2 linked regions of the Danio rerio genome follow. The protein of the gene in region 2 purifies or fractionates together with the protein of the main gene of each other region. This does not show direct contact. Links are inferred from orthologs where the notes say so. Each region holds a gene or a part of one and is shown on either strand. Other genes may lie near its edges.

Region 1 (4,569 bases), on a different chromosome or scaffold from region 2:
TTGTATTCATGTCACAATATATATCGCAGAATAAAAAAAAATATAGCAATGTTCGATTTTTCCAATATCCTGCAGCCAGGATAACCATAAAACCATATTTGTTATTAGTAATATGCCTTGCTAAGCACTTCATTTACACTTTAAAGTAGATAACCCGGTCAAATAGTGTCCTAAACCATAAGTCAACATTAAGCTCATTTACAATATGTATACATTTCAATATCAAAACATTGACAGTTATGATGGTTTTGTGGTCCAGAGTCACATTTAAAAAGTGGATTAACATAAGATTAAACATTTAACAAACAGTATCCAGAGGCATTATTTAAAAAGTCTTTATTAAATGGGCATTTTGAAAAGTATTTACAGGCAGATTTCTGTGTTTTCAGGCAGGGCATGACAAACCCGTCTGGTCTGATTTTTTTACAGCACAATGGGTGAACGATGACACGTCAGATTAAAGGGTATTTTCATAAACTGCAGGAGTTATGAGATTTCATTCGTGGACAGCACAGAAAAGTAAATTAGAAAAAGAAATAAACAGGGAGTTACAGTCAAGAAAAGTAGTAGTATGGCTCCTCATATATAGACACTGTATTGCAAGAGCCAAAGCAACTAGATCAACTGACTTAACACTTTCAATAACAAGTTGCTTAGTTAAGCCACTGGTGCGGCGCACACACACACACACATTTCTCTTAGGTTTCAATAAACATTAAATAAACTCTTATAGGATATTCTGTAGTCATAGATGAGTTTTCAAATGATCTTGAAGCCATACTTCATCATGTACGCTTAACATTGCACCATCATTCAGTTAAAAAAAACAACAAAAAAAAACCTATCCAGCAATACACAACTTCATTCATTCGCTCATAATTCCTCACAACAACCTGAGTTCCTACATAAGTAAATAAATCAAAAAGAGAGAGAAGAAAATGGCCAACAGCAGATTTAAGAAAGTGAGACGAGGGAAGCCAGCAAAACCTGTTTTTTTTTTTTATCTCTCCTCGTTTCACCCTCTCTTCAGTTCTTCCCAGCACGACAAATATTTACACAACTCATCTTTTCCGTTAAAATGCACAGGTCTAAAAACGACTACCTTTAAATCATATTATAAAAGGCATAGAAACGGCTTAAAAATGTGATTGTTGCACTCGTTTAACTCTCTACTTATGTTTTTGTTTTTATTCGTTTTACTTTATGTAGAAATCAGGACAGTCAGAGGAAGACCCATGAATAAAACATAAGAAAAACAACAACAGATAACCGTAAACAATAAAGAAAGTCAGCTCGAGTTTCCACAACATACCTTCCTTACCCATTTAAAAACATATGGCAATTAGCAGACCGGTAATAACCAAAATAATTAAAACAAAAGACAAACACAAGCAATACAAAAAGCTGGAGAGAACAGTGTGGAAGGGAGGTTTGAGTAATTGGTGAGATTTCTAGAATTATTGCTGAAGGAAGCTGGTGCCTTTCTTCTGTTGCTTCTAGCACGCTTGTTTCTTCCATCCCAAATGTCTTTTCAGAGGATTTTGCTTACATGAGGTGAGGAAGGGACGATAGTTCTGTTTCATTTCTCTCCATTTTCATTTAATTTTTAAGGGATTTCGTTGGGGCTGGACATCACAGTGAGCAGTGTCCGGAGGCGAGGTCCTCATCACAGTGTAAAAAGCAGGGAAAGTTTCCCACATCTGCTTCGCTAGATCGTGTTTCTTTCCCCCGGTACATTCCACACAGGCCGTGCTGGATTCGAGAGGGTTTTTTATATTTCTTTGAAGAACATCCCACATCCTAAATATTGATAAAAATGATTTGAATTTAAACCCTAATCTGGGAGACCCTCGCTCGCCTCTTCTGGTCTCCCAGGAAAGGCTGTTATTCCTATCTGCGCTGGTGGTGAAAGCCTTGTGTACCGTCTGGACCTGCTGGCTGTCGAACCACATGGTTTCCTGGTCTGTTTTCCTCTGAAAGTGTATGGCTGCTTCCCCGTGGAGATCTGGTTGAAGATAGACAATGTGTAAAATGTACAAATTAAAGCACTTTGTTTTTTTGTTTGTAGCAGTTATGGCTGAAGCCTTAGATCTAAAATAGAGCTGTGGTGGAAAATTGTTCCAGAAATCAATTTTTAGTTTTTTTAAAATGCACCGCTGTTCTGTTTTGAATTGATCCTGAGCTTGATTTTTAAATCTAATATCAATATACTTCTAGATTCCCATGGTTGCACATTTCTGCTGTGTGATTGGCCCTTAGATCAATAAGATAAAAAAAAAGTAAAAAAAAGTCCAGAGCTTATCATTGTTGGCATCATTGGCAATCTGATATAATATAATTTATCCCTAGTATATAGAGATAAAAGCCAAGTATATGCATGTCCCTATCACAGAGAAGTGCAATAAATTAAGTTAATTTTATGTGCAGCATGCACAGGTTATCCAAATCTGACCAATCAGATGGGGCCTTTACTTTACCTCTGACAACAGCCAAAAAGAATCAGACTTTCAGTCATTCATGGTGTTTTAAAGTCGAAATGTTTGTACATTAATATAGTTTTTAATTTTTACATTAAATTATTTCAGAAAAATATCTATTACCTGTTGATTTTAGTATGAACATTACATAAATGATGTTTATAAATTGCTGATAAAATAGCGTTTTGCATGTTAGTTATATCATATTAAATATGGAGATTAGCAATCATCACATATTTTCCCGGTATCGTGCAACCCTATTTTAATGTCTATCTTTTTAAAATCCATTTAATGACAACTTTTAGTAGTAGTAAATTACAGTTTTCACAAAATTACTTAACAAAAAAAAACTGATCAAAAGAAATCTGTCGAGCAGAAAAATTAGCACATCAAAAGGATTTCTAATGGATCATGTGACACTGAAAACTGAAGCTTAAAGAGTGCAACAGACCGGTTCTAGATATAAAAACTCTTATTATTCTTTTACATTAACTAATATAAACCTTTAAACACAGATACATTGTGAGCTATAAGTTTTTTAATTGTTTGTATATATATTTGTACAGTTACAGTAGTTATTCATTCAATTCTTATAGTTAAATCGGTGGGCGTTGAATTTGAGCAGAGAAACTAGTTAACCCAAGATTAGGCCCACACGAAATCCGCAGATTTTTAGCCCATGATTGAGTCTATGTATTTACTTGTGTAAATTTTTCTCATTTACAGAATTTTTTTTTTTTTTTTTACAAAATTCTCCATAGAAATAGCAAAAAATGTCTAAAAATGTCCCTACCCATGAAGATATAAAAAAAAATCCATTAATCAGAGTAACAGCTTGCAAAACACTTTAGACCCACTTCCATAAAGCATTGCAAATGACTCAAAGATACAGCTTTATAATTCTTGTATATATGTACTGTATATATACACTTGCATATTTTTAATATGTATTTTTAAATTTCTCATTGGACTGTCACTCACTATACAACAGGAATTGTAGTTATTTCCCTCATTAGCTGTCAAGTACACTTTTTGTCAGATTTTCATATAATTATTTGCATCGCATCAAAGTTTGCTATGCAATTATTATTTATCATTGTGTTGTGATTCAACTTGTAACTTCAAGTTTACGAGTTGTTTCTAGTTCAAATATTTAAAAATTCTTAAAACAGGGAGCATTTTCTAGACAAGCAAAATATCGTCTTTTTCAGAAATAATAAGTCAAATTGAGAAAATGTCTACCAGGGTGAGAAAAAATATTTGAGAAATAAAATTATTAAGCTTACCCCATTGACAGATTATTAAGCTTGTTTTTGCTTGTCTAAATGCTTCTTGATTTACTAATTTTTAGACATTTGGACTAGAAACGAGACTCAATCTCTAAAGTAAAAAAGCAGTTTTTGCAGTGTAAAATACTCATGGGAAAAATACCTCCAAAACCTGCACGGCTGAAAAAGTGAGTGGACACTAATGCACTGCGTATAATCGCATACAGTGCTCAGCATATACAAGAACACCCTCATAAACCTCTCTTTTAAATTCATATTTTTAACAGGAAGCTATACAATATTATGTGTGCATATACATTAGATTAGTCAGTACTGAAGCCAAATCAGGAGCTTATCTAACAAAAGTACTTGCGTTAACAGTCAAAAAAAAAACTAGTACATCCACATTTATATGTTATAGAAAAACAAAATACAAATTTTAAAAAAGAGGAAAAATCAACAGAAGCCATTTTTTGCAATATTTTGCTTGAATTGAATTGTATTATCTTTTACTTTCTAAATATGTTTGGTGACTAAAATATTATTTTAATAAATATATCTGTTTAATAAATCTGTTTTGTTTAAATACACTAAAATACATTGCATATATTCACTGGTAAATGGAGAAAAATATTAATTTTCAAAATGGGGTGTCCTCAATTACGCTGAGTACTTTACATATATAGATGTCATGGAGGGAATCCATGGAAAAGTTTATAGAAGATCACTCAAAATCAGTGTTCGCTGTCAGAGCCTCTATATATGGCGGGTCAGTATTTTTACCGGTCTGAATTGGGTCTCTCCTGTGGCGTGTCATCAGGAGT
Region 2 (4,825 bases):
TCATCTCCTCCAGCCACAAAGAAGTCTTTATCAGGATGCAGGGAAGCGGAGTGAATGGAAGCAGGGGCGTCTACGGTCTTAATCAGGTCCAAACTGAAGATAACACAAAATATCAGTCTGGCGCTATCAGTTTTCTGTACAGTACAGAACATGTTTTTTGTTCCAACTTGACGTTCAAGGTAATATTTGCACGATATGAAAGATAGAAACCTGTGGGCATTATAGAAAGCGATGGTTCTCCCGTATGTGATGACGAGAGTCTCCCCATCAGGAATGTACTCCATGCTGCTGACAGATGCATCGAATGATAAAGTCTTCACCGCCTCGTTTGTGTTCTTGTCCCAAAGTCTATACATAGAAGATGACACTAAATCAATCTATCTGCATATGTAAAGTCAAAAGATGTTACCATTCGGGATACTCACCTGATGGTTTTGTCGTCGGCAGCTGAAAGAATCTGCTGGTCATTGTTACACCACAGTGCTTTCTTTATGGCAGAAGTGTGGCCTGCAATCTCCTGGGGTTCTGCATTACAAAAGTTACTTTTTAAAACCAGGTTTGCATTTATGAAAGGAAGCGGCTATCATCAAAGCAAATAAACTATTATTTAACTTTCAATACCTGCTTCAGGTTTGCTGAGGTCATAGATGCGCAGTACTTTATCATTTCCTCCAGTCAGGAGATAGTTACTGTCCTGTTGGTTCAACACATGCTGGTAAAAACTCCTAAATGAAATTACTCTGGCAAGTTTACAGAAAGTGACTTCATTTACATGTAGTAATCGGTGATCAAATGATTTGCCTTGATCTGAATAAGACAATAAAATGTTTAAGGTGTTTACATGAGTTACTTTTTGAATATTGCTTTCATGATCCCTTTTTACATGCTATAGCACATAGTTTGATTAACGTTGTTGCGTCATCGTGCTATCCACATTTGCTCTGGAGTTTCATGTAATTTCGGGAGTTTTATTTTTATTTTGTTGACTTTAACTGCAGTTTGGCACTTTCATTCAGGAATAATTCATGCATGCCCCCATGACAAACGAGATTTTGGATTTTGGATATTGGTTTTTTAAAAAAAAAACTCAGCATTTCGCAATGTACACTGTAGATGTCTGTGGTCCTACTGACTTGATAGTGCAGAGAATAGTGTCAAACAGCCGTGTGTATATAGACTGTCCCATTGCAAAATGTGGCAAAAACCCTACACAACGGTAATAGTTTGATTGCGTTTACATGTCTTTACAGTGTCAATGATGTGACTAAAACCGGCATATGCCACGTCTTAATTACATTTCTGTAGAGTTTGATTATGACCTTAATCTGATTAAATTAATGAAAAATTTCTGTTTATATGGTAGAGTCTTAATCAGAGTATTGTCTTAATCGTATTAAAATTGCATTGGTATCCTTGTAAATGTACTGAGTGATTGAACACATGGGTTACTATTGTTCCAAACTTTATTTCATTTTATTTATTACTTTATCTATTGTGGTTTAAATTTAATAAGGAAAGTCCCAGTGACATGCTGTTTCTCCTGTCAGGGTTCACATTTGAAAATGAAGCTAACTGAAACATTTAGTTATGAAACTTTACTGATTGCCGAAGTAAATTATGAGAATCATGAAGCAAATTGAGCCAGCATTCTGTTAACCCGTGGTTTTGAATGACCACAGGTTAACTATTTTAAGTAAGATCATTTCATAAACCAAGTGTTGCATAAATAGTCTGAATATCTCAATATAGATCAGTATTATATCTTACTAAAATTGTTGCAAAATGTTTTAATTAGATACTAGAATAAATTAATGACTTATTCATTTGTTCATACAAGTAGTTTAAAATAAATACATTTAGCCTGTTATGCCAAAGTTGCATTTACTTATTCAAAAATACAGTAAAACTAATATAAAATTATAATAATTTAAAAAACCCACGTTGTGCATAAATATAATTTGAAATGTATATCATATTCCAAGATTACAAAGTCAAGATTTCATCTGCCATAACTCTTGGCTTACACAATTTTGCAGAACTCGTTCTATACATCAGCATGGAATACCTGTGTAAAGTTTACAGACTTCACAATGTGCTTGTGCGCCAGGGTGAGGACCTCGTCTCCAGTGACAGCATCCCATACCTTCCTGTCAGATTCATAAGAAATATAGAAAGTAAACTCATGTTTCAACAATAACAGTTCATCTTTTATTCCTTTAACACTTACGCTGTAAAATCTGCTGCGGCCGTTGCTGCTTTTGTAGCTTCTGTATTCAAGGTGGCACCCCAGACAGCACCCTTGTGACCCAAGAACGTCCCAATCCAGTCCCCTGTGTCACCCTGGCGCAACATAGGTTTGCCATCTGCAAAATTTGAACACAAAAACAAACTTATTTGACAGATACATGACATATGCACACACTTATTTTAAGAAATGCTTACTTTTTAAGCACACTGCCCTGCAAATGTAGGTAAAAATGGTTTTATATTTAAACTTTCTCCTTAATTTTATTTCAGAAAAACATTATTAGCAAGTTATAAATAGCAAAATCATATTGTCAGCCAATGACTATCAAAGCACAACATTGTTCACAATCAAGTAACGTGATAATGTTGTTTTGAAGTCATAATTAAATGTGATTTCAAGCCGAATATTCAAAGTACCATGGTGAACAATATAGGGAGCATGTCACAAGTGGTCACTGCATGAATGTGCAACTATAAAACCAACAATGCCCTGCAATGAGGTTGTGTTTACTGTGAAGAGTTGGTTTTAAGTCCAAGTACATACAAACCTTTACAAGCACTAATGAGGAAATATCCATAAGGAGTTATTCCACTGAACGCCAGATCCACAACAGGTCTGGTGTGACCAGAGCAGGTGAGAGGGGTCTGTCTCATGGCCATACTTACTGAGGACCTAAAAAGATGACAGGACACATAAGCAATTGTACTGAAACATAGCTACGTATTTCTTAAAATTCAAGTATCAAATAAGAGATGTACATATGAAAAATCAGAACAGGTGTGCTGGCTAACACAAGCTTGGCTAGTCAAAGAAAAACAATCATTACCTTGCAAAGCTAGCAAATCAACGTCACACACTAGTACTTTGCGGCCAGATTGCGTATCGGGGATGATTGCGGAGCTGCACTCCCAGCTACAGTGCTGTGCCACCAGCTACACGAGGTGTGTGTGTGTGAGTGTGTGTGTGTGTAAGCTAAACTCGAGCCCTCGCTAACGCTACAGGAACATAATGGAAGCACTAGTGTGAAAGCCCGGCCATCATTTCCGGCCCGCGACGCCACGGGGATTGGACAGAACTGGATCACGTGACCTGTCGTAGCGTCGGTTGAGAAAGCGTACATCCCGTTTTTCTACCAATGGACGTGTATGTACAAATAAAGTGCTAACATGTGCTGTATTATGTTTAAATTCCATTATCTAATATGTAATATCTGGGATAGGAAAGATTCTAGCGTTAATATGAAGACGCTTTCTCAGTACGAACTACAAACGAGGAAAGTTACTACTTTGACACACTTCGTTTATCAGTGTTGTTAACGGATGGTTATATAACTAACGTTATGGCAAATGTGAGGAAATAACATGTTAATAATAATAATAATACTAATAATAATAACAATAATAATAATAATCAGTGCCATAAATCAATAAGCTTTACGCTATTTAAAATATATATAAGGTAAACTTTCTGAGCCACGAAGCGCCCCCTGTAGGTAAGTAACATCTGCACAGGATATAATTACTATTTGAATAGAGCGGTCAGGATAAATATTACACATGGGCTGGTTGCGGTAAAAATGCTTTACATTCAGACATCTCAATGATAATTTTGCGTGCAAGCCTCACTGGTATGTCTACGTGTGCTCTGATGTCATGATAACCTCACTGTCATGGGACACACCTGTTTTAAATGACTTAGAGCAATTTCTGGAAAAACTCACGGAGTTCTTTGAATATTCTGAAGGGATGTGCAGGCAGGCAGGCACGTAGATAGATAGATAGATAGATAGATAGATAGATAGATAGATAGATAGATAGACAGACAGACAGACAGACAGACAGACAGACAGACAGACAGACAGACAGATATAGATAGATAGATAGATAGATAGATAGATAGATAGATAGATAGATAGATAGATAGATAGATAGATAGATAGATAGATAGACAGACAGACAGACAGATATAGATAGATAGATAGATAGATAGATAGATAGATAGATAGATAGATAGACAGAGAGACAGACAGACAGACAGACAGACAGACAGATAGATAGATAGATAGATAGATAGATAGATAGATAGATAGATAGATAGATAGATAGACAGACAGATAGATGATAGATGGATGGATGGATGGACGGACGGACGGACGGACAGACAGACAGACAGATAGATAGATAGATAGATAGACAGACAGATAGATAGATGTTTTATGTTCTCATTGCAATGTCTATTTAAACGTCATCCAAATTAAAGGCAGTGCTTATGACTCATTAATCACAGCTTTTTGCAAATCTTACATAATTGCATCTCTGAAAATCTTGCTAAAGGCCATTAGAGATGAAGATCTACTGTAAGCACACATTTTCATGAGGGGAAAACAGAAATGCAAACACAGGACGCCTCTCTCATTTGAGCATTATCTTAGTAACACAGTAACGCTGAAAGCTTCAGATGCAAATCAGCGTGTGAGTCATGTTGTACCAGCATGCACCGCGACTGTTTCCTAGCACACGGGGGTGTGAGAGGTCCCGATCATTCTAGCGAATCGGTTCGTTCATATGATTCACTATT

The links.
Region 1: the proteins of strap (region 2) and szrd1 purify together in Homo sapiens (co-immunoprecipitation; 3 studies listed by BioGRID and IntAct, counting the BioPlex papers as one, with this or other methods). This does not show direct contact. The link is inferred for Danio rerio from reciprocal best matches to the Homo sapiens genes STRAP and SZRD1.

The regions. Positions count from the first base shown.
Region 1 is NC_133198.1:27,446,236-27,450,804, reverse strand, and holds the end of szrd1 (SUZ RNA-binding domain-containing), read right to left. Parts: coding exon 4,529-4,569; intron 2,006-4,528; coding exon 1,891-2,005; 3' UTR 991-1,890; downstream 1-990.
Region 2 is NC_133179.1:17,468,120-17,472,944, forward strand, and holds the start of strap (serine-threonine kinase receptor-associated protein), read right to left. Parts: upstream 3,265-4,825; 5' UTR 3,075-3,264; intron 2,921-3,074; 5' UTR 2,908-2,920; coding exon 2,796-2,907; intron 2,364-2,795; coding exon 2,228-2,363; intron 2,148-2,227; coding exon 2,066-2,147; intron 695-2,065; coding exon 622-694; intron 526-621; coding exon 426-525; intron 349-425; coding exon 211-348; intron 94-210; coding exon 1-93. UniProt on the Homo sapiens protein: The SMN complex catalyzes the assembly of small nuclear ribonucleoproteins (snRNPs), the building blocks of the spliceosome, and thereby plays an important role in the splicing of cellular pre-mRNAs.